Linked DNA regions of Mus musculus. The protein of the gene in region 5 interacts with the protein of the main gene of each other region in a pairwise test. Links are inferred from orthologs where the notes say so. Each region holds a gene or a part of one and is shown on either strand. Other genes may lie near its edges. The genes, in order: Kansl1, Fam214b, Tsga10ip, Sh2d4a, Cep70, Atp5o and Abt1.

What was found.
Region 1: the proteins of Cep70 (region 5) and Kansl1 interact in binary tests that used the Homo sapiens proteins (3 or more experiments, as listed by UniProt). The two-hybrid records come from large-scale screens. The link is inferred for Mus musculus from reciprocal best matches to the Homo sapiens genes CEP70 and KANSL1.
Region 2: the proteins of Cep70 (region 5) and Fam214b interact in binary tests that used the Homo sapiens proteins (3 or more experiments, as listed by UniProt). The link is inferred for Mus musculus from reciprocal best matches to the Homo sapiens genes CEP70 and ATOSB.
Region 3: the proteins of Cep70 (region 5) and Tsga10ip interact in binary tests that used the Homo sapiens proteins (3 or more experiments, as listed by UniProt). The two-hybrid records come from large-scale screens. The link is inferred for Mus musculus from reciprocal best matches to the Homo sapiens genes CEP70 and TSGA10IP.
Region 4: the proteins of Cep70 (region 5) and Sh2d4a interact in binary tests that used the Homo sapiens proteins (3 or more experiments, as listed by UniProt). The link is inferred for Mus musculus from reciprocal best matches to the Homo sapiens genes CEP70 and SH2D4A.
Region 6: the proteins of Cep70 (region 5) and Atp5o interact in binary tests that used the Homo sapiens proteins (3 or more experiments, as listed by UniProt). The two-hybrid records come from large-scale screens. The link is inferred for Mus musculus from reciprocal best matches to the Homo sapiens genes CEP70 and ATP5PO.
Region 7: the proteins of Cep70 (region 5) and Abt1 interact in a two-hybrid assay, tested with the Homo sapiens proteins (2 studies listed by BioGRID and IntAct). The two-hybrid records come from large-scale screens. The link is inferred for Mus musculus from reciprocal best matches to the Homo sapiens genes CEP70 and ABT1.

The regions. Positions count from the first base shown.
Region 1 is NC_000077.6:104,439,521-104,443,679, reverse strand, and holds the start of Kansl1 (KAT8 regulatory NSL complex subunit 1), read left to right. Parts: upstream 1-1,359; 5' UTR 1,360-1,955; intron 1,956-4,159. UniProt on the Homo sapiens protein: Non-catalytic component of the NSL histone acetyltransferase complex, a multiprotein complex that mediates histone H4 acetylation at 'Lys-5'- and 'Lys-8' (H4K5ac and H4K8ac) at transcription start sites and promotes transcription initiation.
Region 2 is NC_000070.6:43,037,502-43,041,500, reverse strand, and holds the start of Fam214b (protein FAM214B), read left to right. Parts: upstream 1-1,199; 5' UTR 1,200-1,535; exon of another isoform or gene 1,536-1,686; intron 1,687-3,999. UniProt on the Homo sapiens protein: Transcription regulator that may syncronize transcriptional and translational programs.
Region 3 is NC_000085.6:5,399,707-5,403,943, reverse strand, and holds the start of Tsga10ip (testis-specific protein 10-interacting protein), read left to right. Parts: upstream 1-1,437; 5' UTR 1,438-1,483; coding exon 1,484-1,612; intron 1,613-2,784; coding exon 2,785-2,924; intron 2,925-3,006; coding exon 3,007-3,710; intron 3,711-3,883; coding exon 3,884-4,031; intron 4,032-4,237.
Region 4 is NC_000074.6:68,345,366-68,348,204, forward strand, and holds the end of Sh2d4a (SH2 domain-containing protein 4A), read left to right. Parts: intron 1-587; coding exon 588-808; intron 809-1,288; coding exon 1,289-1,381; 3' UTR 1,382-2,339; downstream 2,340-2,839. UniProt on the Homo sapiens protein: Inhibits estrogen-induced cell proliferation by competing with PLCG for binding to ESR1, blocking the effect of estrogen on PLCG and repressing estrogen-induced proliferation. May play a role in T-cell development and function.
Region 5 is NC_000075.6:99,241,916-99,246,140, forward strand, and holds the start of Cep70 (centrosomal protein of 70 kDa), read left to right. Parts: upstream 1-1,425; 5' UTR 1,426-1,575; exon of another isoform or gene 1,576-1,969; intron 1,970-4,225.
Region 6 is NC_000082.6:91,928,831-91,932,813, reverse strand, and holds the start of Atp5o (ATP synthase subunit O, mitochondrial precursor), read left to right. Parts: upstream 1-1,183; 5' UTR 1,184-1,258; coding exon 1,259-1,294; intron 1,295-2,409; coding exon 2,410-2,460; intron 2,461-3,804; coding exon 3,805-3,915; intron 3,916-3,983. UniProt on the Homo sapiens protein: Subunit OSCP, of the mitochondrial membrane ATP synthase complex (F(1)F(0) ATP synthase or Complex V) that produces ATP from ADP in the presence of a proton gradient across the membrane which is generated by electron transport complexes of the respiratory chain.
Region 7 is NC_000079.6:23,421,067-23,425,154, reverse strand, and holds the start of Abt1 (activator of basal transcription 1), read left to right. Parts: upstream 1-1,288; 5' UTR 1,289-1,322; coding exon 1,323-1,569; intron 1,570-2,472; coding exon 2,473-2,672; intron 2,673-2,819; coding exon 2,820-3,182; 3' UTR 3,183-4,088.

The DNA.
Region 1 (4,159 bases), on a different chromosome or scaffold from region 5:
TAGATGCAGATACTGCAGAAACTTGTTGAGTTAGAGACTTTGTGGGCTAATGAAAACTGGTCTATAACAATAGTTTTTTTTTTTTGAGGAGCTGAAGTGACACATAACACCGGATACTGGTTTGGTAAACCACACAAAGTATTGAGCATTTTACATCTTCCTTTTGGTAGACTCTACTCTTCTCATCTGCTGAGCTTGGTGATTTAGTTGTTGGAACAAGTTTTATGCTATTTGATTTTGGTGAGTCCTAATAATCTTTGGACATGGTTAGCTTTAAAGGGTGGTGGATTTGTACTGTGTAATGTGTCACTTTGCGTTATATTAAGTTTTCTAAGTCCAGAAAATGTTCTCTGATATTAAACCTTATTTGGGAGGAAGGAACCGATATCGTGCTGACAAACTAGAGTCAAGAGTAATTAGGTGCCACTACTTTTAAGTCAACGCTGGTAAGAACATGACAGGTTTGCTTTTGTTGTTCATTGTTAAACTTTTAGCGGGTCTGTGAACTTTAATTTGGTAGTAGCAGGAAACAAAAAAATTACTGTGTAATGAATGCGTTTTTGCCTATTTTGGCGGATCTGACAAATCAAGAAGCCTAAAACAACACGCGGGCTTAACGAAAACTACAGTTCCCAGCGGGCCCGGCGCTGGTGGGCCATCATTTCCCCTCTAGCTCCCAGCTGCCCCTGCCCGGGCTAGCCCCGAGTCGGTCCTAGCTCGCGCCTGCGCAATGGCGTCCGCTTATTTTTTGGTTTGGCGGCTGCAGAGCGTGGCGCTAGGGCTAGCAGCCAGCCGTGTGCTGCAGTGTACAGAGCAGGGTGTAGGACAAAGGGCGGGTGGCAGGGACCGCGTCACTGGTCAGGGAGCTTCCTGCCCGTCTCAGAGCACGGTTGGCCCTGGGGTAGTGTGGCCGCAGCAGCTTCTTCATTCACTGCACACACAGTTCTTCGCTCACGTCCTCTAGCTCTGCTGTGTCAGTCCGCCCTCCCCTCAAACCGGCGCGCAGCACCGCCAGCCACAGAGCCGAGGGAATGTGACGGCATCAGCGCCTCAGGTTAGCCTCACCTCGATCGAAGCGAGGGCCCCGCGTCGCTTGCCGCAGTGCCGCGTGTCGCTGCCGCACGTATCAGGCACCAGGCACCGGTTTCCGCAAACAGAGGCGCAGAAGCAGCGGCCGCGGCTAGGAGCCATGACTGAGGCGGCGGCGGCCGCGCCTCCTGGCAGCCCGCGGGGGCGGCGAGGCGGGCGCCCCCTGGCGGCGCGCCGGGGCGGAGCGGCCCGCCGCAGCCGCAGCCGGCGGAGGCGCTGCTGTCCCTCCTCCCCGTGTCCCCGGCACTCGCCCGCTCGCTTGCTCGCTCCATTCTCCCTCCGCTTCAGATTAAAGGGGGGGAGGGAAAAGGAGCTCGGCCGCCATTTTCCCAGTGCCGCCGCCGCCACCGCCACCGCTCGCTGAGCCGGCGGGAGAACCAAGCGCCGTAGCGAAGCCGACTCGTCTCGCCGCGGCGGCTTGGGGGGCGGCCGAAGTGCGCTCCCCGGCCGGGAAGAAGCTCCCGGGGTGGCGGCCGGGGTGCGGGCGCGGGCTGCAGACGGCGGCGCTTGTTTGTGCGGGGCGGGGGGGGCAGCTTTACCCTCTGCCCCCGCCCGCCCGGGGCTGCGGTCCCCGCCGTGCCCAGGCCGGGTCGGAACGGAGGAAGGCCGGAGAAAGGGCCCGAAAGAGAAGAAAAAGCAGCCGCTCCCCGCCGCCGCCGCCTTCCCCTCCCCCTCCGCCTCGCCCCCCCGCCCGGAAAGTCAGGGCGGCTCCGGGCGCCGGGGGGGAGGAGAGCGGCGGGCCGGGCCGGAGCAGCAGCCGCGCGCCCCCGCCCGCTGGTCCTCGGCGCCCAGGCCGGGGGGCTGTTTGCAAACTGCGCCCATTTTGTGGGGCCGAATCCGCCCGGGCTACGCTCCTCCATCACGTGGTAGGTGCTGCTGCTGCTCCTTTCCTCCTCCTCCCGCTGCCCTTTCTCCTTCTCCTCGCTCTCCCTGTGGTTCCCATTTCTCCCTCTCTTTGTTAGTTGTAACTAGAAAGGCTGGGCAGGGGAAGAAAAATCCCCGGAACTTTAAATGGCCTCTCCGGGCTTCCCCGCTGCGGGTCCGGGCTGGGAGTCGCCCCAAGGGCGGGGGTGTGCGGGGGCCCTTCCCCACCAGCTGCCGCCTCGTTCGCTGGGCTTTCCTTTGGCGTTCTATTTAAAAAGGCGGCCTGGAGAACCTGGTTTATTTCCGAAAAAAAAAAAAAAAAAAAGCAAAAACAAAAAGACCAAAAACAAACTCTTGCTCTCGCCTTGAACTTCTCTTGACTGCAAAAGGTCTTTCTTTGCTCAAACACATCTTGCATGTCTGTCTCACGGTTTGTATCACAACTCTGATTGTTAACATTTTTTGTTGCTTAAATATTGAGGTCATTTGCGTTTTCGGATCTAGTCTCAGGCAGCCCTTTTTTTCAACTAAAGAGGAAGAGGCATTTATTTGCTTTTAAGTGAGTTGGAATCTTACTGCTTTTGGGGGGGCCTGTTTTCGGACTGACGGCCTTTGATTCTCAGCAAATAGTTTATAATTGTTTTCCGTATTGTAAACAATCTTACTCCCATGTTTTACCTAGAAATCCTTTTGTTTTCCAATGTTGGAATCCCAATGTGGATTTTTAGAGAAACTCGTTACTTAACTATTGCTTATTGATTGCCTTAGGGGAAAAGGGGTGACATGATGGCGCCACTTTAAATTGCTCTTTCCTCCGCCTGTTTTTTCCTCCTTTATCCTGGAGGTCACTGGAGCATTTTCCGTGACCTATTAATAAAACCGCACTTGAGGGTGTTAGCTGTACAACTCTTAGGGGTTAGAATTTGGTACCTTAAAGATTGAGAAACCCGAATCCTGCAGTCCCCAAAGTTAAGAGAAATCTCGCTAGTCCTCCAACCTAGCTTTCCTCCCCTCCATTCACAATCCTGGTGTTGCCATATCCTTCGTCACGTGGCTAGCAATCATTGTGGGGTTTTGTTTGTTTGTTTGGGGGGGTGTATGTTAATATTTTAAGCTGTAGCCAAGTAAGTGTCCCTCTGCCCATTAGAGAGATCACAATGCTCTAGGGTTTTTTTTTTTTAATACATTCGGAGAACATTTTAAAATAAACGATAAAATTACATAATCCTTGCCTTGCATAATCATGATATAGTTACAGAACTTCTTCTCAAAAGTACTTTCAATCAAGTAGGAAAATCGTTATATTAAAATGATTTCTGTTTCTTAGACTGGTCTGCAGTTTATATTTCCCACCCCACCTCCCTTTTTTGTTTTTGTTTTTAAGGTCATTTGAAGTACCAGTATTTACAAAAGCATAAAGTGGGCGTGTTTCCCTTTCCTCTCTTCTATGGGCTGTACTTGGTTTCTTGTCTTATTCTCCTACCAATTTAGAAATTTTCAATTAACTGCAGCTGTTGTCAGTTGAGACTTTTTTTTTTTTTTCTTCTGACAGTGGATACTTTTGATGTGTTTCTTTGTTGCATTTTTGATAGAGAAGTTTTTAATTCTAGTTTTCCAATCTTCTTACTTGGTTGTTATAACTTCTTGTAAATATTAACTATAAAATGCTAAAGTACATTTTTTTCTTTTTCTAGGTAAGTTACTAGCTTCAAAAAGTAAATATAAAATGTAATTCTTGAGTATGATTGATCTGTTTTCTCCTGATGTATGTTATCAATGGCTTGGGCCATTTTCTTTGCTAACAGTTACATCATGTCATGTGATAGGTGCAGTGTGATGTGTTGCTCTAAAAATATTGCGAGGTAAAAATGCTCATCCTTTGGAAATTTAAACAATGTATTGTAACTATTTGGTAACGACCCTTAGTCATGGAATCCTGAATTAGATTTCCACTAGGTTTAGCCAACCAAGTGTACAGTTCTTTTGACCTTTAGAATATTTGATTTGATTTGTTAGTGACCTCAGAACTTGAGGTGGTTTGACATTATTTTTGAAGTGTGATCTACTTGGAACCATTAACAATCACATAGATTCTTAAAATCTTTATTCTGATGAAGGTAGTTATTTAATTAAGTGTATGTGATGATTTGTTTCTGTACACAAAAGTCATCAGTTCTATGCAGATTTTGAGATAAATTGGAGGTTT
Region 2 (3,999 bases), on a different chromosome or scaffold from region 5:
AGGTCTGTTGTGTACTTGTATTAATTGTAAAACCCAGAGAGGAAGTAGGGGGGGCCCTCTTTTTACAGTCCAGTAATAAACTAATGGTCCTGGGGACTCATAGCATAGGCAAAGCATTGGCTTCTACTTCCTTTGGTTCTGCTGTTTGTTCCCTGTTTCTGTGACCGACAGGGAGAAAAGGCCTGAGTTGGTGACAACCTGTCTGACTTGCTGATAAGTTCAGAAGACAAAGTAGACAAGGCTATCCATTTTCTCAGGTTATCTCGAGAGCACTCCCTGTAAAAAGTGTCTGTGAATGCCCAGTCCTCGCAAAAATTCCGTCCTGGTTATTTACAGAGCTAAGGACAAAGGTTAGGGATGCTGACTATAATGCTGCTTAATTTGGCTGGCTCTGGGCTGGGCCCGGGGCCCTGTGACTCAGGGGGAGCTTGGTGAGTTTCGAGGGAGCTGTGAGTCATGAAGACGAACTTGGTCTCCATCTGACTTTGGGCAGAAGGCCTTCTAACTCACTTCTTAGGATGCTCTGTTTCCTCGGAGCAGAGGCCTGTCAGCAAAGAGTGCTCCAAAGCCTGGTCTCGGAAGGGTTTTGAGAGTCCCTGAAATGTCAGCCTCCTGGGGTCTCTAACAAAGACAAAAAGGGGGTGGGAGAGGATGCCATCTTTCAGTATGGATAGAAATAAGGTACGACTGTAGTAGGTCTTTTTTTCCTGCTCTTGTAGAAAGCTTACTCGATAGCAACCCTTTTACCTGGAGCTGTTTCGGGATGTGGGGGCGAATGGGCTTGGGGATATGTAGGGTTGGGTTTGGTGTGACTTGGAGATTGTTGAGATTTATCTGTGAACACACTGGAGCTTCATATTAATTTACTTCAGAACAGGAAGTGTGGAGGAGAAAGGTTTGTTGAGCCCTGAGAGAATGAAGTCTGAATGGGGTTAAATGACAGGGCAGAGAATTGCTTAGGACTTGGACAGAAAAAGGGTTAAGGAGGTGGGCGGAGCGACATTGGGTAGGCCTGCCCTTATGTGGACCAATAGGCGTGCGCTCCTTGAAGAGGGCGTGACTCACGCTTGAGGTTGCTGAGAGGCTGGCCTCCACTGGGCCAATGAACATAGTTGTTGCCCATAGAGGGTGTGGTCTGAGGGGGGCGTGGCAGCCGTGGTCGCAGTGCTGGGGGTGGCTGGGCGCTGGGCGGGGCGGGCGGCCCCATCAGCTGGTAGGAAATGGCCTGTGAGTCAGAGGGGCAGCTGAGTCTGCGGCGCGGAGCCGGGGCGGCCCCGGGGAGGGACCGTCGCAGGGAGGGGTGCAACAGCAGCTAGAGGGGCTGCGGACGCCAGAGCCCGCTAGTGTTGCACACGAAGCTGATCAGGGAAGGGCCAAGCAGAGCAAGGCTCTCAGCCTAAGCCACCCTTTGTCTGGGTTGGGGGCCCGTAGTAGGGGGGACTGGTTATCCGAGGGGAGGGACCGGGACGGGGACGGGACCGGGACGGAAGGGCCCGGAGCAGCGGCCACCGCGGCGGAGCCAATTTGGGAGCGGGGTGAGTGTGTACTAGGTGGAAGGATCAGATCTCCAAAACCTCTGCAGGGTATGGGGCCTGTCCCAGACTGTGAAGAAGGGATGAGAACCGACCTGGGAGGCTAAGCAGGGGGTGGGAGGAATCGTCCAGAACAAGGAGTCCAGGAGTCAAGGTGAGTCTCCCCGTCTGAGTTTGGAGGGGTTTCTGAGGTCTGCTCCCTCTCTATTAAAGGTGAAGGGCTCTAGGCCAGAGTGAGAGCGAGTGTGAAAGCAGAGATTAACCTTTCTACTCAGAACAGTGGTCTTGGGAACAGTCACCCTAGCGTGTGTAGACTTGTGTGAGGACAAAATGTACAGCAGTGAGCAGCAGGACTCTGCCCAGGATAAGAGTGGAAAACACATGGGTAGGAATTCTTACCCTAACCTTCCTTAGGGTAAAAATGGGTGTCTTGAGAGTGAAGGGAAGGATAGAATGAGCCTAGGTGTTCTTCTTGTACCACAACCTCTCCCACCTCCCAGGTCTAACAAGTATCTGAGGGTACAGACCTCATGGTATTCTGGGACTTGTTGTTTTTGCTGGCCTTGCTCTCGGCATGTTGGGAGCTGTAGTCCTTGGCAGCCACAGTCTGGCACAGCTGTTTAATGCCAGCTGCTGCCCATCCCCAGCATGGAGGGCGAGGTTTGGCTTATACTGGCTTGTCCCTTCTCCCGGCAGTCCTACCCCATGAGTCAGCTTGAAGCTGGGTGGCAGAGGAGTGAGTCTTCGAGCGTCTCTGGGCAGGGAGGGAACTAATAGGACTCTGGATTAATGAGCAGATGCCAGCATGCTGGGGTCAAGTAGGGCATCATGTCATCACCTGGCTTCCTCGAGGCAAGGGCTCAGGAGGGCAACTGAGATGACCTGGAAATTGGGGTGCTCAGGAAAACGCCCTTCTTGAACTTTAAAGCTTGGGTGGAGACTAGGAGGGGAAGAAAGGAGAACAGGTCATACTCTCACGACACTGCTACTACTGGCGTTCTCCGCTTTCTAGCCATCTCACCCACATGAAGGACTGGAATGTTCTTAGGGTCTCATTCGGAAGGGGGCCTGGTGAAATGGCAAGGTGTGGTCTGAAAGGAAGGCAATGGCTGATGTAGGAGAGTCCCTACGTGTAAATGTCCCCCCTCTCTCCGTCTCCTGCCACCACATGAACTGCTGCAGTTCCCCATGTACAATTAATCTCTCCACTCTTCACCCATACAGTGTGTCTCTACACTGTCAGGCTGCTGACCAGATCACTGGTGCTAGCTCGGATTTAGGCTTTTTTTTTTTTTTTTTTTTTTTTTTTTTTTGAATCTTGATGTGTGTTTCTCCTGAGCTTGAAGTTGGGCTGGGGAAGAAACACAGTCCTGTCCTCGGGCCTGACATAATCAGAAGTGAACAGCAGTGTCATCGGGTTTCAGAAAGTAGTTAGTGATTTGCCTGTCTCTGCCTCCAGAGTGTGTGGACTAAAAGATGTGTGCCACCACTCCCCTCAACTTGTTTGTTGGTTTTGTGTTTTGTCTGAGGTAGGATGTCTCATAACCTCATCTGACCTTAACTGTCTGGTGTAGTGGGAAGTCTGGCTGTAACCTGGTTTTTGTTTGTTTGATTTTGACAGAGGACCTCTCAACATGTAGCTAGACTGGTCTAGATCCTCCTGCCTCAGCCTCTAGCACTATGTTAAAGGGCAGTATGGTTGGTAGTGCTCACAGGCTGCTGACCAAATAAGGATGACAGTGGGGACAGCTGGCCTTCAACTTGAGAGTCTGGTCACTGAAATATTAGTGGTCTGTGAAGACCATTGTTGTGCTTTGGCAACAAAGAAATGCTTTAGCTTTTTTTTTTTTTTTTTTGAGTATTGGTTGTGCCCTGCGGGAGGGGCATGGAGAGATACTCCAGTTATTTCCAGTTGGCTGCTTGCTGCTTCCTTATCTCTGGTTTGCAGGGCCTGGGGGGAGGGGTGAGAACTAGAAAGTATCTTCTGACTGCGTTCTCTCCTTCCACCACTTGTTTTTGGTTAGATTTCTTTTTGTTTCGGGGAGGTCTTTAGGGGATGGGGGTAACAGTGTAGCCCTGGCTGTCCTGGAACTCACTCTGTAGACCAGGCTGGCCTTGAGCTCAGAAATCTGTCTGCCTCTGCCTCCCAAGTGCTGGGATTAAAGGCATGTGCTACCCATGCCCTGCTGGATTTCTTCTATTAAAAAGACAGATTTCTGAGGAACGTTAGGATTTTAAATGTGCAGGGCTGGCTTGGAGCTGACTTGAGTTCTGTAGTTGTGTGATGGGGTGTACCTACCTGCATGACCTCTGCCCTCAGCACTCTCGAGTGGCACTTGCCCCTTTGGATAGATATAAGGAGATGAGTTGTGTAACTGGGTAGCCTTGAGTAAGAGAAGTACAGTATTGTCCTGTCCACCTACAACCTGACATGGAATCTCTGGTCTTTGGGGCATCTTATCCCCTA
Region 3 (4,237 bases), on a different chromosome or scaffold from region 5:
GCACCTCTATGGACTCTGCATCAGCTCCTGCCATCAGGTTCCTGGCCTGCTTGAGTTCCTATCCCGAATTTCTTGGATGATGAACTATGTATCCAAGCAAACTCTTCCCCCACCCAACTTGCTGTTTGGTCATGGTGTTTTATTGTAGCAATAGAAACAGTAAAATGACAGGCTTATTCTTTTTTCTTTTCTTTCTCTCTTCCTTCCTTTCTTTCATATATATACTGCAGCTGTCCTCAGACACACCAGAAGAGGGCATCCGATCCCATTATGGATGGTAGTGAGCCACCATGTAATTTCTGGGAATTGAACTCAGGATCTCTGGAAGAACAGTCAGTGTTCTCAACTGCTAAGCCATCTCTCCAGACCCAGGCTTATTCTTTTAATTGAAAATTAAATCATATTTTGAACTTTATTGTATTTGAAATTTTTATTTTAATTGAAATTTAAAATTGTATTTTGCCCAGCGGCTATTCGGTAATCCTATGTTCTTCTTCCCTTTAAGCCTAGTGGCTCAGTGGCAACTTCCAACCACTCATCATGTGCTCCCCCAATTATGAAGTGAACCAGGAGTTCTCAGATCCAATGGGCCCTTACATGGCTAGAGAGGTTTAAAATATGTACATGCCAGCTGGGTGTGGTGGCGCACGCCTTTAATCCCAGTGCTCTCTTGAAGCAGAGGAAAAGCAGAGGACGGTATGTTCAAGGACGGCCTGGCCTATACAGTGACTTTCAGGCCAGCTAGCTAGGCTACATGTTTTTGTGTTGGTTTTTGATTTTTTGAGTCAGGGTTTCTCTGTGTAGCCCTGGCTGTCCTGGAACTTACTCTGCAGACCAGGCTGGCCTCGAACTCAGAAATCTGCCTGCCTCTGCCTCCCGAGTGCTGGGATTAAAGGTGTGTGCCACCACTGCCCAGCATGTTTTGTTTTTGTTTTTGTTTTATTTTTTAATTTTTAATTTTTTTAGGCTACATGTGAGACACTGTCTAAAATAAGCAAAACAAAATGCTCAAAACAAAGCCAGTCAATGTATAAATATACACCATTAGGCTCAGGAAACAAGTATGGCTGAAGTTCTGTCATTCTCAGGTTGAGGGGCTTGCTGCCTCTCTGAGGGACACAGTATCCTGCGGCCAGAAGGCCATGGCCTGCCTTGTGCAGCAATGGGGCATTTTCACAGGACCTGAGGGCCCTTTGAGGTGACAAGTTCTGATATCCCTTCAAAAGCAGATGGATAAACATAGGCCTAGAGAAGTAGGGAGCTTATACCAGGTCAGGTTGCAGGGGCAGAGGCAAGGCCCAAGGCAGTTCTGGGCGCTGTTGAACACAGTCTCGTAAAGGAGACCAGCAGAACTCTGGCTGATCGCTACCGAGTACTTTTTGCTGGAATCATTCAGACCGGTCACAGCCTGGTTGTCATGGAGATGGCAGAGAGGGCAGTTCCAGAGCTGGCAGGTAGGGGTGGGAGAGGGCAACATGCCAATATGCTAAACACTGACCAACTGTTGGTTAGGGCCTTATCGGAGAGACCAAGGCAGAGTACAGAGCCCTTGGTTCCAGGGACATCTACAGGGCTGTTCAGACTTCTATCAAGCATCTCTCCGGAGGACCAGGTGAGGGAGGCAGGCCCAGTTGGGGAGCTTCAACCGCCCATTGGCATCTTAGGCCAGAAGAGGTCAGCCCTGGCTAAGGCTCTTGAGGAAACGTAAGACTGGAGCTCAGGTCCTGGTAACAGTTGGGAATGCCTGGGACAAGGACCACAGAGGACAGATGGAGCAGTTTGGGAACACTGCAGGGAGGAAAGGAGTTTAGGGAAATAAAAACCCTTCCTTCCTTCCTTCCTTCCTTCCTTCCTTCCTTCCACTAAGGAACTTGTCACTTCCTCAGCACTAAGTCCAGAGCCCTGGGTGACATCCAGAAAAATGTGAGCTTTTGTTGTGGGTGGTGTGGCTTGGTGTTTTGGGGTGCCAGCAGTGGATGGCTTGTTGGGCAGTCTCCTACCAAATTACCTGATCTGGGCTGTCCTGGAGCTCACAGTCCTCCCCTCTCTGCTTCCTGCGTATCTGGGGTTACAGCTGTGTGTCATCACACCCCGATATTTTTCTAAAATTTAAAGAAGTCCAAACCAGGCATGCTGGTGCAGCCTGTCATCCCAACACTTGGGACACAGAGGCAGGAGGATCAGTAGTTCAAAGCTATCATCAGCCAAGCCATGGTGGCACATAACTTTAATCCCAGGCAGGTTGGCCTCTGAGTTGGAGGCCGAGTCTACAGAGTGAGTTCCAGGACAGTTAGGGCTCCACAGAAAAGCACCATCTCAAAACAAAGCTATCTTCAGCTATACAGTGAGCTTGAGACCGTCCTCAGCTACACAAGACACCATCTCAACAAGACAACAAAAACTAATAATATTTATAAATATTTTAATATTTATTATATTATTTTTAAATATTTAATATTTATTATATGTAAGTACATTGTAGCTGTCTTCAGACACTCCAGAAGAGGGCGTCAGATCTCATTACAGATGGTTGTGAGCCACCATGTGGTTGGTGGGATTTGAACTCCGGACCTTTGGAAGAGCAGTCGGGTGCTTTTACCCACTGAGCCATCTCTCCAGTCCAGCTTGTGCTGTCTTAACAGAAGAGGTAGTGAATGATCAGAGAAGGTTATAGGCAGCCACAGCACAGTCTAGACAGAGAGGAAGCCCCTGGGAGGTGAACCTGAAGAGGAAGCACCATATGGGAGGCTAGTCAGAGCTCCCCTCTTCCCTGTCCCTGCCCAGAGGTGCCTTGGGAGTGGTGACAGTCTCCAGAGTCAGAGCTGCCAGCTACAAAGATCTTACAGCGCAGGGCAGACAACAAAGAAAGAGCGAAAGGCCCGGAGGCGGAACAAGAAAGGCCGTGGCTCAGCTGAGGCAGAGGAGTAAGTTGCTGGGGAGGGACTGGAAGGTGCACTGGGGACTAGGAGGACCCTCATTCTGACTTCTCTCCTCTTCCTCCTGCAGTCTCTTCAGTCCACCTTCTCGAAAGCCTTCCTTCCCTTTCCAGTGGGCCTGGGAGAGCTTCATCATAGATGGCCAGGCTCTGTTTCAGTCAAGTTCCTCTATGGCCATGGGCCATCGACCCCTGCTCCTCCCTCCAGCAGCCCCCCAGTGCAAGTCCAGGCACAAGTCAGTAGCCAACCTCTCAGAAGACCTTCGAGCCTGCCACAAGATGGAAGAGCAAAGCGTGGGGAGGAGACATCACCTAGGGGGCTGGGCCAACTTTCCCCTGCCTCTGAGCAAAGTGGAGAGTCAAGGGCTAGATCAACCTAGCTTCTGGTTATCAGGGAAAGGGTCAGGATCAGAGTCTGAGGATGTCTTAGAGATAGAAGGCCAGAATTCTGAAGAGGCTGAGAAAAGTCTCAGCTCTGGGGAACTGCCTCAGCTCCCAGGGCAGAGCTTGATCTTGGAGGAGGAATTGATATCAGAGGCGATGGAGGAGGAACACAGCGACCCCCACAAGGGAAAGGGCAGTTCTGTCAATAAGGGGGGGAATTCTGGAGAGAAGGGCTCAGAAGAGGGGGAGCTGCAGAGCCACAACCAGGGAAGCAGCTCTAGCTTCAACAGTCTCCGAAAGCCACAGAAGGGGATCTCAAGGGCCAAGGACCTGAAGGGGCCCTGGGACCTGGAGCGGCTACACAGGCAGTTACAGGAAGAACTGGAATGTGGTTAGTACCGCAGGGAGGCCTGAGGTGCCGCCATCCTGGGAACTCTGTGCTCAGATGGAGGGGTGGGGTCGGCGGTAGAAGCTGGGGTGGGCCAGGAGTTGTCTGGATGCTGGGTGGAACTGCCCAGGGAACCAGGAGAGAGTGTGATCCAGACTTGGTGTTCCCATGGAAAGGTCCCCAGAAGCAGACCTGGAAGGCGCTGCGGGCAGCTGTCCAGGCCTCTGCCAGGAACAAGAAGACCCCCATCTTGGGAGATGATGAAAGTTTCTTGTCTGCCAACTTCCCTAATCGTACTTTCCATAAACGACAGGAAGCCACCAGGTGAGGACAAAAGAGGAAGGGAAGCAAGAAGTGAGGGAAGGTGGAGAGGGGCGTCTTTCTTTCTTCCTTTCTTTCTTTCTCTCTCTCTCTCTCTTTCTTTCTTTCTTTCTCTCTCTCTCTTTCTTTCTTTCTCTTTCTTTCTTCCTTCCTTCCTCTCTCTCTTTTTTTTCTTTCTCTCTCTTTCTCATTCTTCCTTCCTTCCTCTC
Region 4 (2,839 bases), on a different chromosome or scaffold from region 5:
AATACAGTTCTTTGACTATCTGCTCTAGTTTGTTTCTCTGTTGCTATGATAAAATACTTATCAAAAGCAACTTGGGGAAGAAAGGATTTATTCCAGCTTGTAACTCCCAAACCACAGTACATCACTGAAAGAAGAAAGGGTAGGGACTCATAGCAGGAACCTGGAGGCAGGAACTGAAGCTGGAGCAAGGAGGACTGTTGCTTACTGGCTTGCTCAGTTTGGTTTCTTACACAACTCACCTGCCAGGGGTGGTGCCACCCACAGAGGGCTCCCATATCAATCATTAACTAAGAAAATGCTCTTACAGACAAGCCCACAAACCAGTCTGATGAAGGTGATTCTTCAACTGAGGATCCTTCTTTCAATGTCATTCTAGTTTTGGGTCAAGTTGATGAACTATCCATTTGTTTTGTGTTTGTCCAGTAACCAAATAACAGGAGTTTTGTTTTGTTCTGATTCCCAAAGACTTCAAGATATACATGGAATTTAATTCTGATTTTCGTAAACTCTAATTCATATAGGGAGGGGCAACAGAGGAGTACTTTGTAGGGACTTGACTGATATGACTTTTTCTCCCTTTCCCACAGGGATTCTCACACTGAAGAAAGCAAATGAACTTCTGAGCACAGGTGTGCCGGGAAGTTTTTTGATTCGAGTCAGTGAAAAGATCAAGGGCTATGCCCTGTCCTACCTGTCTGAGGAAGGCTGCAAACATTTCCTTATAGATGCATCTGCCAACTCTTACAGCTTCCTGGGTGTGGACCAGCTGCAGCATGCTACACTGGCAGATTTGGTGGAATATCACAAGGTGAATCCAATCATATGTTTAATTCACACTAGGAATTATTGTCCTATAGATATATAACAAAGAATATAGATATATAACAAAGAAACAAACAAAGAAAATAAATATATAACAAAGAAAGGCCTGACTAGGGATATAGCTCAAGTACCCTTGAGCAAAGGGATGGTGGTAGCACATAATTTCTGCTGGTAACAAGGGGTTTTAATTGTATTTCCTTTCTCATATCCACCTGGCATACTCAGAGATATCCCACGGGAGCTGAGAATACTAGAGATGTATATTCTGAGCATATCTGAGGGTGTTCCTATGCTAGAACTTGGGCTTCAGTAGGACAGGGAAACTGAAAGGAGGGAAATCTCTTTTAGTATTGTCATAAGCCAATCTAGGTATGCATAAACCCAGGGTAGAGGAGTGATCTCCCCTAAGGAGCAGCATGAACGTCTACCACATAGCTGCCTCATGGCCCTGTGCTTTGATTGACAGGAGGAGCCCATAACCTCTCTGGGGAAGGAACTCCTTCTGTACCCCTGTGGTCAACAAGACAAGCTGCCCGACTACCTGGAGCTCTTCCAGTGACAACTCTCATCCAGATCAGCCTCCAACTTCCAGCTGGTTTCCCCTCTGGACAGACACCTCTGAGATGGACATTTGTGTGTGATGCCAAAATCTCTCTGTGACAGAGCCAACAGTGAACAACGTCTGAGGTCTTCATTGAAACCTCTCTTCTGCATAAATGCTGGATTCAGTTTAAGGGGGTGTTACCTCTCTCTCATCCTCATTCTGAAAGGAAAAGGGGGAAGGTACCCACATTTGCAACATCCTAATATGAAGGATAGGACCTTGAAGGATATGACCATGATGATGTATATAAGATAAAAAGGACAAGGGTACACTGAAATCTTTTTAGCAATTAAGATGTTATTTTAAAAGAACAAGTGAACAATTTCATGATCTACACACTCCCTTTTTGTTATTCACTCAAAGGTCTCAGTATTCTGTGTGTATAAATTTTTATCTTGCTTTTAGAATGGTGGAAAAATGTCCCCACTGAGGGATGAGATTATCTTCAAAAGACCACCCTTTCTGTGTCTGTTGGAGTGAGGTTATAGAAGACAGAAGAGAAAGACCCAAGTGTAAATTGAAAGACAAGTTTCAAAACTTGAGATGAGAGACTTACCACATATGAAAAAAACCAACCAACCAACCAAAGGTTTTATTGTGACAGTAACCCTGAGTGTGATGGTTTGAATATGCTTGGCCCACAGGGAGTGGTAGTATTAGGAGGTGTGGCCTTGTTGGAGGAGGTGTGGCTTTGTTGGAAGAAGTGTGTCACTGTGGGGGTGGGCTTTGAGACCCTCCTCCTAGCTGCCTGAGAGATTCAGTCTTCTGGTTCCCTTCGGAAGAAGATGCAGAACTCTCAGCTCCTCCTCTGCCATTCCTGTCTGGAAAATGCCGCGCTCCTGCCTTGATTATAAAGGACTGAAACTCTGAAGCTGTAAGCCAGCCCCAATTAAATGTTTTTCTTTAAAGAGTTGCCTTGGTCATGGTGTCTCTTCACAGCATTGGAAACCCTAACTAAGACGCGTGAGTAATCTTAGGGTTTGTTTCTTCATTCTTCTCTACTCCCCCCCCCCCCCATCTGAAAGTAAATATAAAAGATACTGTGCGTGGCCATGTAAGGACTTGTGTGGTCCTGATTCCAAGAGAAGAACTGAATAAGTGAGTGGTTTGGATACCACCTATTGAGGGATGAATTGTGTCCCACACCAAATATACATGAAGTCCTGACCCTTCTGTATCTGAGTATGAACTGATAGAGAAATAGGATCTGTGCAGAAAAGATAAGTAAGATAGGCTCCAAATCTAATGAGTTGCATCTGTATAAGGGAGAAAGATAAAGAAAAAAGACAAACATGAGGATGGAGGTTAAAGGACCACAGAAACAGAGAGTAGAGTGGTGTAGGGCAGGGTATGGCGGGGATTATGAAAGGCAGTACGGCCCAGGCCCAGACTCTCCCTAGGACTCTATTAGGA
Region 5 (4,225 bases):
AAGTCACCCTATTGTTCTGGAAAAGGTAAGCAGTTAGATTGTCTTAGGAAGCTGAAAATGAAAATCTGTCAGCTCCGTAGTGTGAATATCCAGATATAGAAAGGGAAGGAAGGGGCCATGAGGGGGAATAGAGGGATTGGGATGTGTTTGCAGAGAACACACACAGTTTAGACTCACTGTGTGCCTAAACGTGGGCTTGAGAGCAGTACTCTCTTAAGAGATGTGCCCTTGGACCACCCAGAGAGAGTCACTTTAGTTGATGTATTAGGGTCACTAAGACCCTGATGGGACTTGCATTTCCCAAGTCCTTCTGGAAATGCCTGTTGTCAATACCGCCACCGTGTGGCTGTAAGTTGCAAGGACAACGATGGTAGATTCCTGAAAACTCGAGGTCATCCTTTAGACTGCGAACATGATTTTTTTTCCCTTACATATTTTGGATTTCTTAACCCACTTTTGGTTTTTGAAAAGAGTGGAGAAGGACCTTCGTTTTATTTTTTTCCTTGAGCCAAGGCCTCCTGTAGCTTCCGGTGGTCTTGACTTTTGCTATAAAGCCAGGGATGACCTTGAACTCCTGATCTGCCTGTACCTCCTAAATTCTGGAATTACAGGCACGTGTCAGCTCGCCTGTCTTAGGCCGTGTTGAAGAATCAAACCCAAGGGCTTCCCGGACGCTGAATTCTACCAACTGATCTACATCTCCAGTCCCTCTTCCCCACCAGGTTTAGAATCAGTCTTAATTATTTCTCAGCGGACAGTTGGTTCTCCCTCCTGGCTATACATTAGAATCACTTCGGGGAACCATATAAACTCTGGACGTGTGGGCCCCACTTTAGAGATCTTGACTTAATTAACCTGGAGGCCCATAGATCGTTTTCAAGGCTTTTCAGCTTATCTAAAGTTGAAGCAAGAGTTGTGCCTCATGTCCTTATGTAATCTTTTATCTCTGTAGCCACAAACCCTTTATTAACCAGTCTTATCAGTGTCTAACAGGAGCCCAAACTGCCTATCTAGACTGAGCTTCGTCAGGCAGGCATCTCAGTTCTTCGTAGACCTTTGAAAATATTCAAGGAGAAGGTGAAATGTTATCAAGAAATGCTTATTGGGGTTGCCCCGTGCAGACAGTTCCTGAAAAAGGCTCGCAGTCAGGGCGTGAGGGGGAGCTGTAGGGAGCGCAGGCATCCAGTGATAATAAGGCAGCCCCGGCCTCACTTTCACTTGCAACCGCAAATGTGTGTATTTCTAGCTTCTCGGGGATCAAAGAAACACCATGGTGACTGAGCGACTATCAGGCGGAGCGTCCAGGAAGTGTCAAAGCGCCTGCTACAAAGTAGCCGCAGCAAGTCCGGGTCCGGTGGGAGTGGAGGCGGGAAGAAGCCCCGCCCCGTGGGCGGAGCTAACGATAGAGCGCGGCGTGGACCCGCCTTCCCGGCGCGCCAGGTGGTGTTGTCCCGCCCCGCTGGGAGGCCATCGACTGCGTCAGTTCGATTGGTCAGCCTGGCTGCGCTAACGGTCGCGTAGGCGGGGCTTAGGCCGCGGGGGCGAGCGCGGTGGAAGCCACGGGCTGTGACCGAGGTGAGTGGCGCTTGGGGTCGCCGAGGACTTTACGTGGGCCCCCTTCAGGTGCACGCCCAAAGGTGGCTTCTCCGGAATCCGGAGCGTCCCACTCACCAGCCAGGGCCCTCAGAATGGAGTCGCCCCGGCTCCTACGCGCTAGCTAGGAAATGCGCGTGCAGGTGTGGGCGTGGACCTCCCTGCGGGGAGCCCGCCCGTCGCTTTGTGTCCCTCGCTCCTCACTCAACCTCTTCTCCCAGCCGAGTGTTGAAGGTGTGCGACCTGGTAGAGGAAGCAGGAACTGAGCTTAGACTCCTACATGGAATCGGCTGGGTTCCGGGCTAGCTCCAGTTCTCTTTGCGGCGCTGTCAGGTGATAGCGATTTGGAGCCAAGTGGGAGATCGCGGAGTAAAGGGTAGGCGAGTACCCCTCCTGTCAGACTCATTACAAATTTAAGGACTCCGCCTTTATGTGGGTCCACGTTGATTAATGTGAAAAACACAGCAAAGCCTAATCAAGGTTCCCACTATTATCAACTAATCAATAATTGTTCACGCCACGGTGCAGACGTAGAGAAAGAGGACAACCTTGGGCGTCGGTCATTGCCTCTACCTTGTTTGAGACAAGGTCTTTTGTTTTTCTGCATACTGTAGGGGATGGAGGGGAGAGCTGCAGAGTCCGATCTCCCTACAGGAGGCCCGGGGTTACAGAATTCTCGCCTCCTGTGGATTCTGAGGATTGCTTCTCAAGCTTTCTTGGGACAAGTGCCTTTACCCACTGAGCTGTCTCTCTAGCCTGCCACTTTATTTTGTAATCATATCAGCGCTGCAGGCATTGGTTTCAATCTTGTGCATTGCATGGATTTTTGTAAATAGTAAATAGCTAGTAAATGGTAAACCGTGAAGAGCAAGTTGCAATGTTGTTGGAATTGAATTGTTGATTCACGTTAAGGCAAGGTTTCATGCAGGCCGTCTGAGGACGACATTGAATTCCTGATCCTCCAACCTCTGAAATGCTGGGGTTACAGCTAAACACCACCACACCCAGCTATTATATTTATGGGGGTTTTGTTTTTTTTTTTTTTTTGTTTTTGTTTTTTGTTTTTTGAGGCAAGATTTCTTTATGTAGCCTTGGCTGTCCTGGAACTAGCTCTCTAGACCCAGCTCACCTAGAACTCACAGAGATCCTCCTGCCTCTGCCTCCTGAGTGCACACCACCATTGCCTGGCTATAAAATTTTAGTATGTGTTGTATTTTAACAGATCCTCAGATACCTACAGGGCAATTAATGAACTGTTGTGAAACATGGATGGACTGTGTCAAAATATACACTTTTCCCCCCATGATGGCTGTCACTTGTACTCACACTCCCAGGGCTGAGAGGGATGGGTTGCCTAGGCTAGTTCTAGGTCAGCCAAGGTTCTGTTTCAAACATCTCCAGTTTCATCTTTTTCTCATTTTGTTTTTCTCTTATCTTCTTTTTCTCTTATTTTCCTTTTCTCTCTTTTCTTTTTCCCCACCCTCCTTTTCTTGAGACAAGATCTTGCCATGTTGTCCAGGTTGTCTTGGAAGTCACTATGTAGACCAGTTTGGCTTTGAACTTACAGGAGTCCACTAGGATTTGCTTCCTGAGTGCTGGGAATAAAGGCATGCATCACCATCCGCCACTAAACATTTTTACCACTTTTAATTATGTGCGTGTTCATGTGTACAGGTACTCGTGGGGGCCGAGGAGTTGGATCTCCTGGAGCTGGAGTCATAGGTGGTTGTGAGCTGCCAGGCGTGGGTGAAGGGGATTGAACTCTGGTCCCCTGTAAGGGATAACATGCTCTTAGCACTGTGCTGTTTCATTTCTGTTTGTTTTTGTTTTGGTTTTGGTTTTTTTGTTTTTGTTTTGAGACAGGGTCTCTCTATATAGTCCTGGAACTCACTGTGTAGACCAGGCTGGCCTCGAACTCACAAGATCTGCCTGCCTTTGTCTCCTGAGTGGTAAGATTAAAGGTGTCTACCACTGTGTTTGGCTTCTTTCTTTTCTTGAGATAGGGTTTTACTATGTAGCCTGGGCTGTCTCATATCCTTCCTAAGACCCAAAGCTGGGAATTATGGGTATGTGATTTTTTTTCTCCTTTTTGTAACACTTGGCTTTATTTGCCACGTGGCTAAACGACATCCGTCCTCTACTTCCTACTCTAGGAGTCCTGTGTGTTAACAACACTCTGTAAAGGTTCTGCCTTGGCCCTAGGATGCCGTTATTTTTTTTTTTTTCCTGTGACTTTCAAGGTTCCAAAGCCGTGTCTTGTTAATAGCCTGGATGGGGAAAAGATTACTACAGACGATTAGCATGTTTGCATTAATAGGTAATACTTTGTGTCAATTTGTAATAATTGGAAGTGTGCTCTTGAAAAAGCTTACAGGTTTTTACTATGACTTTTTAAAGAACACTTTCAGAACTCAGAGAACCTTGGGGGTTACAGGGGGTGGGGGCTTGATCACGGGTGTAAATAAGTTCTCTGCTTCCTGCTTTTACTTGAGTACACTTGCAAGCAAGGATAACTACCCTTGAAGGCCACATATCAGAATGATAGATTTGAATATCCTGCACATGTTTCAATAAAGCAATAGGAGGAAGGACAAGGGGGAAAGGAAGGGGGGCATCTGTGGAAAAAGCTGTT
Region 6 (3,983 bases), on a different chromosome or scaffold from region 5:
TTTGAAATTATGAAAAAGTATATCTAAAGATACTCAGATGTGTATTAAAGTAATATATTAAAGTAATATAAACCACGTGAGTTATGTTGAAAAGTCATAGAATGGTTAAGTTATAGAATCAAAGTAGGTTATTCTGCAGCTATGGACATGTTTATTAAAGTGCCATAATTTAGAAATTTGCTTATACAAAATGTATTTCTGAGGTTGGAGAGACAGCTCAGCGGTTGGGCACTGGCTGCTCCTGCAGAGGACCTGTGCTCAGTTTCAGTACCCCCTGGCACCTCACAACTGCCTCTAACTCCAGCTCCAAGAGACTAGATGTCCTTTTCTGGACTCTAAGGCAACAGGCACACATGGTACACGTGAATATATGCAGGAAAACACTCAAACACATAAAACAATTTCTAAAAGAATGTATTTGCAACCCATATAATTCTGTATCCATCTTCCCTCATATTAAAAAGTAAATTATATATAGATAAATTATATATAGATTTTGAGTCTGTGGGTATAAAAAGCACAAACACGGGCTGGCAAGATGACTCAGCAGTTAAGAGCACTAACTGCTCTTCCGAAGGTCCTGAGTTCAAATCCCAGCAACCACATGGTGGCTCACAACCACCGATAATGAGATCTGACGCCCTCTTCTGGTGTATCTGAAGACAGCTACGGTGTACTTATGTATAATATAATAATAAATCTTTGGGCTGGAGCGAGCAGAGATCCAAAAACAAAAATTAAATCCCCAACAACCACATGAAGGCTCACAACCATCTGTACAGCTACAGTATACTCATATACATGAAGTAAATAAAGAAATCTAAAAAAAGAAAAAAAGAAAAAGCACAAACACACCTGTCAACTGTCCTATGTAATCAAAATATGGCCAGAAGAGCCAAGAAGTGCGCCCGGGTAGGTTCACTTTTGGTTTTTGTTTTAAGTAAAGCCTGAAGCATTGCCACAGAAGCACACTTGGCAGGTTCAAGACGAGTCAACGATGTTGACGATGCATGTGCAAAGAGTTTAAATCTAAACCTAATTTCAGACTTAATTTTCTGGTTCCGGTTCACGAGTCCAGCCGGACCGCGGCAGGTACGGACTACAACTCCCAGCATGCAAGAGGTTCTTACCCACACTCCCGGGCTCCTGACGCGTACATTTCCCAGAAAGCCGAGCGATCACGCTGGCGCGCGCGCGTGCGCTCTGGCGCCAGTAGTCTCTTTTCATTTGGGTTTGACCTACAGCCGCCCGGGAAAAGATGGCCGCGCCTGCAGCGTCCGGACTGTCTCGACAGGTAGAAGCTGGCGGGAGGCTCCCTCCCAGGGTTGCGGGTCCCCGGCTCCCATCGCCGCGTGTGAGGCCGTGGCTGAGGGGTCAGGCAGCCCGCCCAGGGTCGTGGGGCCCGGCGACTGCAGGCAGCGTGGGGCGGATCCGCGTTTCGTCCCCGTGGGGAGTGGGCACGGATTTCTCTGTCTTGACCTTGACATCCAGGACTCACTGCATAGCGGAGCAGCTGGCAAGGGCATGGGAGAGAGCACTGGGGAGAGTACATGCCTGTCCTTGCTGGTAAACCTAAGGGCTGCCTGCTGCTTAGGATTTTGAGTGTTGGAAAAGCGCATCCCCTGTGTTTATAAAGAAGGGGGGAAGGGCTAAACGTCTCCCCTTTGGCTGGCAGCTGGTGAGTGATGGCGAGCTTGCAACAGGCCAAGTCCAGCAGAACCTGGAATTGGGTGGAAAAAAATACGTGCCTGGGTCATCTGCCATGATAATTTTGTATCGACAGCCGTCATGGTTTTCATCTGCACCATACAGAATTATTACTAAGGCGTTAGAAAGTTTTTTAACCCTCATAGCCAGTTCCAATCGAGTACATTCTAGTCTAGAGAGAGTAGTATATGACTGTGACCTGTGCCCTCGCAAAACGCTTTTTAAACTGGATTCCAGGCTGCTCCAGTGACAGACACAGTGCCTGAAGCCTGGTGCTGTATCAAGAGATCTTTGGTCTTAGATAGCATTTCAGTTCCTAAGCAAGTAGGTTTCCTTGAATTAAGACTGGACTCATTTCATGTTCATTAAAGTTTTTCTCAAAGGTGATGTAATATAAATCCTCCGCTTTCATAAAGCATTCTTCCCAAATGTGATAAAGCTCTTAATTATTTTGAAAAATTCCACTTTGGGAAGTTAGCAGCTTTTCTCTCTCAGCTATCCAGGGAGGAAGGTGTTGGGAAGGCAGTTTCTGGAGGGATTTGGGGTGATTCTCAATAGGGAGTGTATAACAAAGAGCAGCTCCCACTCATATAACCTGTGTGATGATAGAAAGGAATTGCGCAAGTATTTGATTAGATTATTTTAACACATTGCTAAGCTAATGCAGAAACCCTGTCTGATCTGTTTTCTTTTGTTCTAAAGGTTCGGAGCTTCAGTACATCTGTGGTCAGGCCCTTTGCCAAGCTTGTAAGGGTATGTCAGCTTACTTATTTGTGTGTGTGTGTTTGGAAAACAATGAAAGAGTGAGTTGAACAGAAATACGTTGAAGTGTGTAATTAATAACCTTGGTCTGCAAGGGTGGCAGTTCCCAGATGAGTGCCTGGGTGCAGGGGATGCTGTTGGGCGCCTGTCACACAGGGTGGGCTCAACCCTAGACTTTAATGTTCTAAAAATAACTTGTTTGGGCCCAGCAAGAGCTCAGCAGGTAAGGGCTGGATGGCAGGCCTGAGGGTGTGAGTTCAATCCCTGGAACCCGGAGGGGGAAAGGAAAGAAAGACCTGAAAGTTTTCTGTTCTGTTCTCTGCGTGTAGTGCGTGCGCGCGCACACACACACACACACACACACACACACACACACACACTGTATGTATAAAAGACTCTTAAATTGTTTTTCCTAGCAATCGTCCATAGACAAGCTAGCCTTTCATTCTTTTTTTTATGAAGGAACTGTTTCTAACAAAAGAAAGTGAAGTGCCCAGATTCTCACACAGTTGATACTCTGTGGCAACTCCGAGTTGCTCAGATGTGAGGCCTGCTTGCAGCCTGCACCTTGTTTCCCCAAGCAGAATCAGTACTGACAGGTACCATTCCCAGGCACCAAGAGTCTCACCATTGATTGCAGAGGTCTATTGGCCTATTCTTTTTAAACCAGAAGTCTGACTGACCTCTGGCCCAAGACAGATTGAAGTATGGCTGCACGTGCATTTATTCTATAGTTCATTGTTACTAATTCATGCATGGCAGAATCTGAAGATATCCTGGGCTGCTGTATGCTCTCGGGCAACCAGGCCAGTGATCTGCACTCATGGTCCCCTTAGGAATAGCAGAATACAATGCTCTAGGGACGTTGGGTGGAACTTACAGCAACACACGCTACGCTTAATAACAGCACCAGATTCCTTCAGCCTCTGTGAGTGGAGCCATTTTATTCCTCCTGAGAACTTCATAAAACACCATGACCGTGATAGGGACACATCCACATGTGCACTTCTTACTGCTGCCCCTGCATTGCTAATCTTCACAACTGCCTGCCGTCGTACTAAACTCCTGTGCTTAGGGATGGCATTGTCACTGAGATCAAAGAAAGCCAAAGCTTGCTGTAACATTTGCAGGTAGGGAGAGCTGGGAGAGACGCTGGACACTGCCCTCTCTGCCCCTCTAAAGGTAGAGGGTCCTGGCCAGGGAGACGGCCCTAGTTTGTGAGTTCTCATTTAGGACTGCACCTTGGCTTGGCAGTGGGAATGCAGTCTTGGAGTTGGGGGTAATTCTGTTCCTGACTTAGCTGCCTCACTCCCCCCCTCTTACTCTTGTTTCCAGCCCCCTGTTCAGGTCTACGGCATCGAAGGCCGCTATGCAACCGCCCTGTACTCTGCTGCATCTAAGGAGAAGAAGCTGGACCAGGTGGAGAAGGAGCTGCTGCGCGTAGGGGTGAGCAGCTCTCTGTTGGGCTTGTTCCTGTGTCCGGTCCTAACGGGGTACAGCCTATAAAAAGAACC
Region 7 (4,088 bases), on a different chromosome or scaffold from region 5:
TTGTGTCTTCTTTACATGTGCCCCTCCCCCAGTTCTCAATGTTTTGAAGTAACTATAAGACGCTCTCAAGTGTCATCATTGTTGGTGAAGTAGTCAGTTAAAAGTTAAAAGTAGGGGTCTTTTCTCTCCATATTCACTTTTCATAAAAGGAGCAGAGGTAACCAACAGCAAGTTCTCTTCAATGCAAGTCCCCAAAGTCAGGTTTAGTTATTAGGTCCTCAGAAGCACCTCAGCTTTACAAATAACGCCCAGAGTCTGTGGACACAGTTGCCCTGTCTTCTATATGTCATCGTGATGATGAAGGATAAAATATTATGTAGGGCCTTGACGAGGGACAACTTGAGTCCTCAGGATCATCCTGCTCTCCGTCCGTCCGTTAAGCAGGAGGGGAGGTTAGTACATCATTTCTAGCAGAGGCATCATCGCTCGAGCGTCATCAGCTGCTGTGGCCCGCCTCTGCGTTGGCCCTGGCGTGTAGGTCCCAAAAGCGAGGCGGCCTGCTGATGTGCGGACCGCGCCCCCTGGCGGCTGGTCCGAGGCTGAGACCTGCAACCCGGACCTTTCGCTCATCAACTTGCACAGATTCGAACACAATAGTACTCAGCTTTTTACTCAAACAGTTACAGATTTAAGTATTCACAAGGTGAAATGTAAAATTACTAAAGGCGCGTTTAAAATTTTAAAACCGCAACTCCAATTAAAATCCCAAAAGAATGCGTGCAAATTTATAAGCTGCTTCAAAAACTTTAATTTTAAAATGTTAAAACTTCATATAATTCAAATAATAAAATAAAAATTCAAATAATATGTTGAAACTTCAAATAATTAAAACTTCAAGGCTCAGACTGAAGTTTACAAGTTGAACTTCATAAAACTTTTTAAAATGTGTGTTAACCTTTCAACCACATTCGCACCACAGACCTGGAAGAAAATGCTGTTTTGGTCTCTACAACACACTCTTTCAACACTCTGTTCTGTAAAAATCCCACGAGAGGCACCAGGGTACGCTCTTGATGCATGGAGGCAAAAATCATTCATGCACATTTGTAAAAAAAATAAAAATATTCCGTGAGAGCTTGCCTCAGATGAGGGCTGCGCGCGACGGAAGTATTTTACCGGGACCCAGGTCCTGCGGCTCCCAACCCTTCTCCTCAGTCCAGTCTGTTGGCCTCGCCCCTCCCGCCCCGCCCAGTCTGTCTCTGCCCCGCCCCTCCGCACCCAGGATTTACGTCATTTCTTGGCCCCGACCGCAGATTGGCTCGCAGGATGTGCGTCATCAGATGGCGACAGATTCACGGCTGTCGTGCTCCCCAGATCTTGCCATGGTGAAAGCGGGAGAGTTGGTGGAGCAGCAAAAGGCTGCGATGGAGGAAGAGGCGAATGCAGAGGCGGCGGAGGATCAGGAGGAGCCCGAGGACACGGCCTGCAGCAGCAGCAGCAAGAAGAAGAAGAAGGTAGTTCCGGGGATTGTGTACCTGGGCCACGTCCCGCCGCGATTCCGGCCCCTTCACGTACGCAACCTGCTCAGCGCCTACGGCGAGGTGGGACGCGTTTTCTTCCAGGCCGAGGGTAAGCCCTGCGTCGAAAGGAGAGGTGACGATGCGGGCAGCCGGGCGCGACTCATTTTCTTGGCTGTACACGAATGAGGCGTGGGGTGCTGGCTCTTGGAAGGCTGTGGCCCCTTCCTAGCTGCTAAGTGTGTAGTACTCACGTCCTTTAGGTGGCAGGCAGGGGCGGGGAAGGGAAATGGAGAGGGTGAGTGGATAGAGAGAGTGGTTTAATAAGGCCTGAAAGAGACCCACGATCTTCTCTTCTTTCTATTTCTTAAAATTTTATTTACTTACTACTTTTTGTAGCTGTCTTCAGACACACCAGAAGAGGGCATCAGATCCCATTACAGATGGTTGTGAGCCACCATGTGGTTGTTGGGAATTGAACTCAGGACCTCTGAAAGAGCAGTCAGTACTCTTAACCACTGAGCCATCTCTCCAGCCCTCTCAATTTTCAAATAGTCCCTGAAACTGTATGATTAGCCTCCTTCAGCCTCTTCACCTTTGTTTGTTTGTTTGTTTGTTTGTTTTTCGAGACAGGGTTTCTTTGTAGCTCTGGCTGTCCTGGAACTCACTCTGTAGACCAGGCTGGCCTCGAACTCAGAGATCCGCCTGCTGCTGCCTCCCAAGTGCTGGGATTAAAGGCGTGCACTACCATGCCTGGCTCTCTTCCACCTCTTGACATGCACAACTTGGAAATGGAGGTGGGGACTGGTGTTGTTCTTGGTGCTGTTCTAATGTTCAAGAAGTTGTCATTTGAAGGGAGGCATGAATTAAGGAAAGGAGGAGCTGCCCCTTACAGACAGCCGTGTTTCATCAATCCCTGTAAAGTAGCGCCTAAACCAGCAGGTGTGGCTTACGGCTAAACTGAGGTGTGTCTCAGTGGGTGCTTGATGGGATGTTCATTGTGTTTGGCCTACAGACCACTTTGTGAAACGCAAGAAGAAGGCAGCCGCGGCCGCAGGAGGAAAGAAGGGAGCTAAGTACAGCAAGGACTATACCGAAGGCTGGGTGGAGTTCCGAGACAAGCGTGTAGCCAAGCGAGTGGCAGCCAGTCTACATAACACGCCCATGGGCGCCCGCAAGCGCAGCCCCTTCCGTTATGACCTGTGGAACCTCAAGGTGAGGTTCTCAGTTTGTCTGCCACATCTTCATTCCCCCCTCCAGCTCTAGTCCAGGCACCCCATCCTTCCTGCTAGCTCTGAGCAGCTCCCAGTTTCTTCTCCCGACCTTCCCTACCGTGACCTTTTCTTCTTTTCCTTCTCACAGTATTTGCATCGTTTTACTTGGTCCCACCTCAGTGAACACCTTGCCTTTGAGCGCCAAGTACGAAGGCAACGCCTGAGAGCAGAGGTCGCCCAAGCAAAGAGAGAGACTGACTTCTATCTTCGAAACGTAGAACAGGGACAACACTTCCTTGCAGCTGATGGGGATGCTACTCGGCCAAATAGCTCCTGGACATTCACCCAGCGTCCCACTGAGCAGGAGTTTAGGGCCCGGAAAGCTGCACGGCCAGGAGGGCGGGAAAGAGCACGGCTGGCTAATGTCGAGGACCAGGCCCGATCCAACAGAGGGCTCCTTGCCAAGATCTTTGGAGCCCCTCTACCTGCAGAGAGCAAGGAAAAACCGTAGTCAATAAGGGACTCCTGGTGATGGAAGAAATACCTACCAGCCCTGCGCCATTCTGATCTGCTTCCTGAAGAGTGTGACCATCTAGGCAGATGTTTTCTCTATTCCACACACCAAGAGTCTGGTAAAGGCCTTTTGTTGGTGTCTTTTACCTACTTTGAACAAATCCTGTAAGTGCCAGCCTGAGAACCTTACTCGTCCTATCCAGGGTGAAGACCACTGGAGGTGCCTGTTGTGTTTTGTTTGATTTCTGATTGCCTGCCTCTTTCTCAGTGGACAGCTAACAGTTTCTGACTGAAAGAGTGGACTTGCCCTCCACTAGGGTAGTGGTCTGTGGTGTTTGTTCACTGTGGTGGAAGGCTGAATTAGCAGGAATTGGATTAGAGGTCCAATTTGAGGCTTATATTTGAAAATAAAAAATAATTTATTTTTATATGCTTTTTAGTTTTTCATTAAGTAAGTTTCAACTTCTTTTGAAGCCATACATGCCGCTCAGTTACTTTAGCACAGGCATGATTCTCCTCCACCCATGAATCTCAGTTACTCTATCAGATATGATCCCAATGCTCCTGTGTTAGTCAGGGTTCTGTAGAGTCACAGAACTTATGGGTAGTCTCTGTATAGTAATGGAATTTGTTGATGGTTTACCGACTGTAGTCTTAACTCCCAACAGTGGTCAGGAGCACCTGTGAATGGAAGTGCAAGGGTCTAGCAGTTGCTCAGTCCCACAAGACAAGCAGGTGAAGGAGGGTCTTCCTTCTTCCAATGTCATTATGTAGGTCTCCTTAGAAGATGTGGCCCAGGTTAAAGGTGTGTGCCGCCATTCCTGGATCTGGGACTTGCTTTGTCCCACATGACCTTGAACTCAGAGATCTCCTTTCTACGGAGGAAGTAGTCCAATGTAGTAAA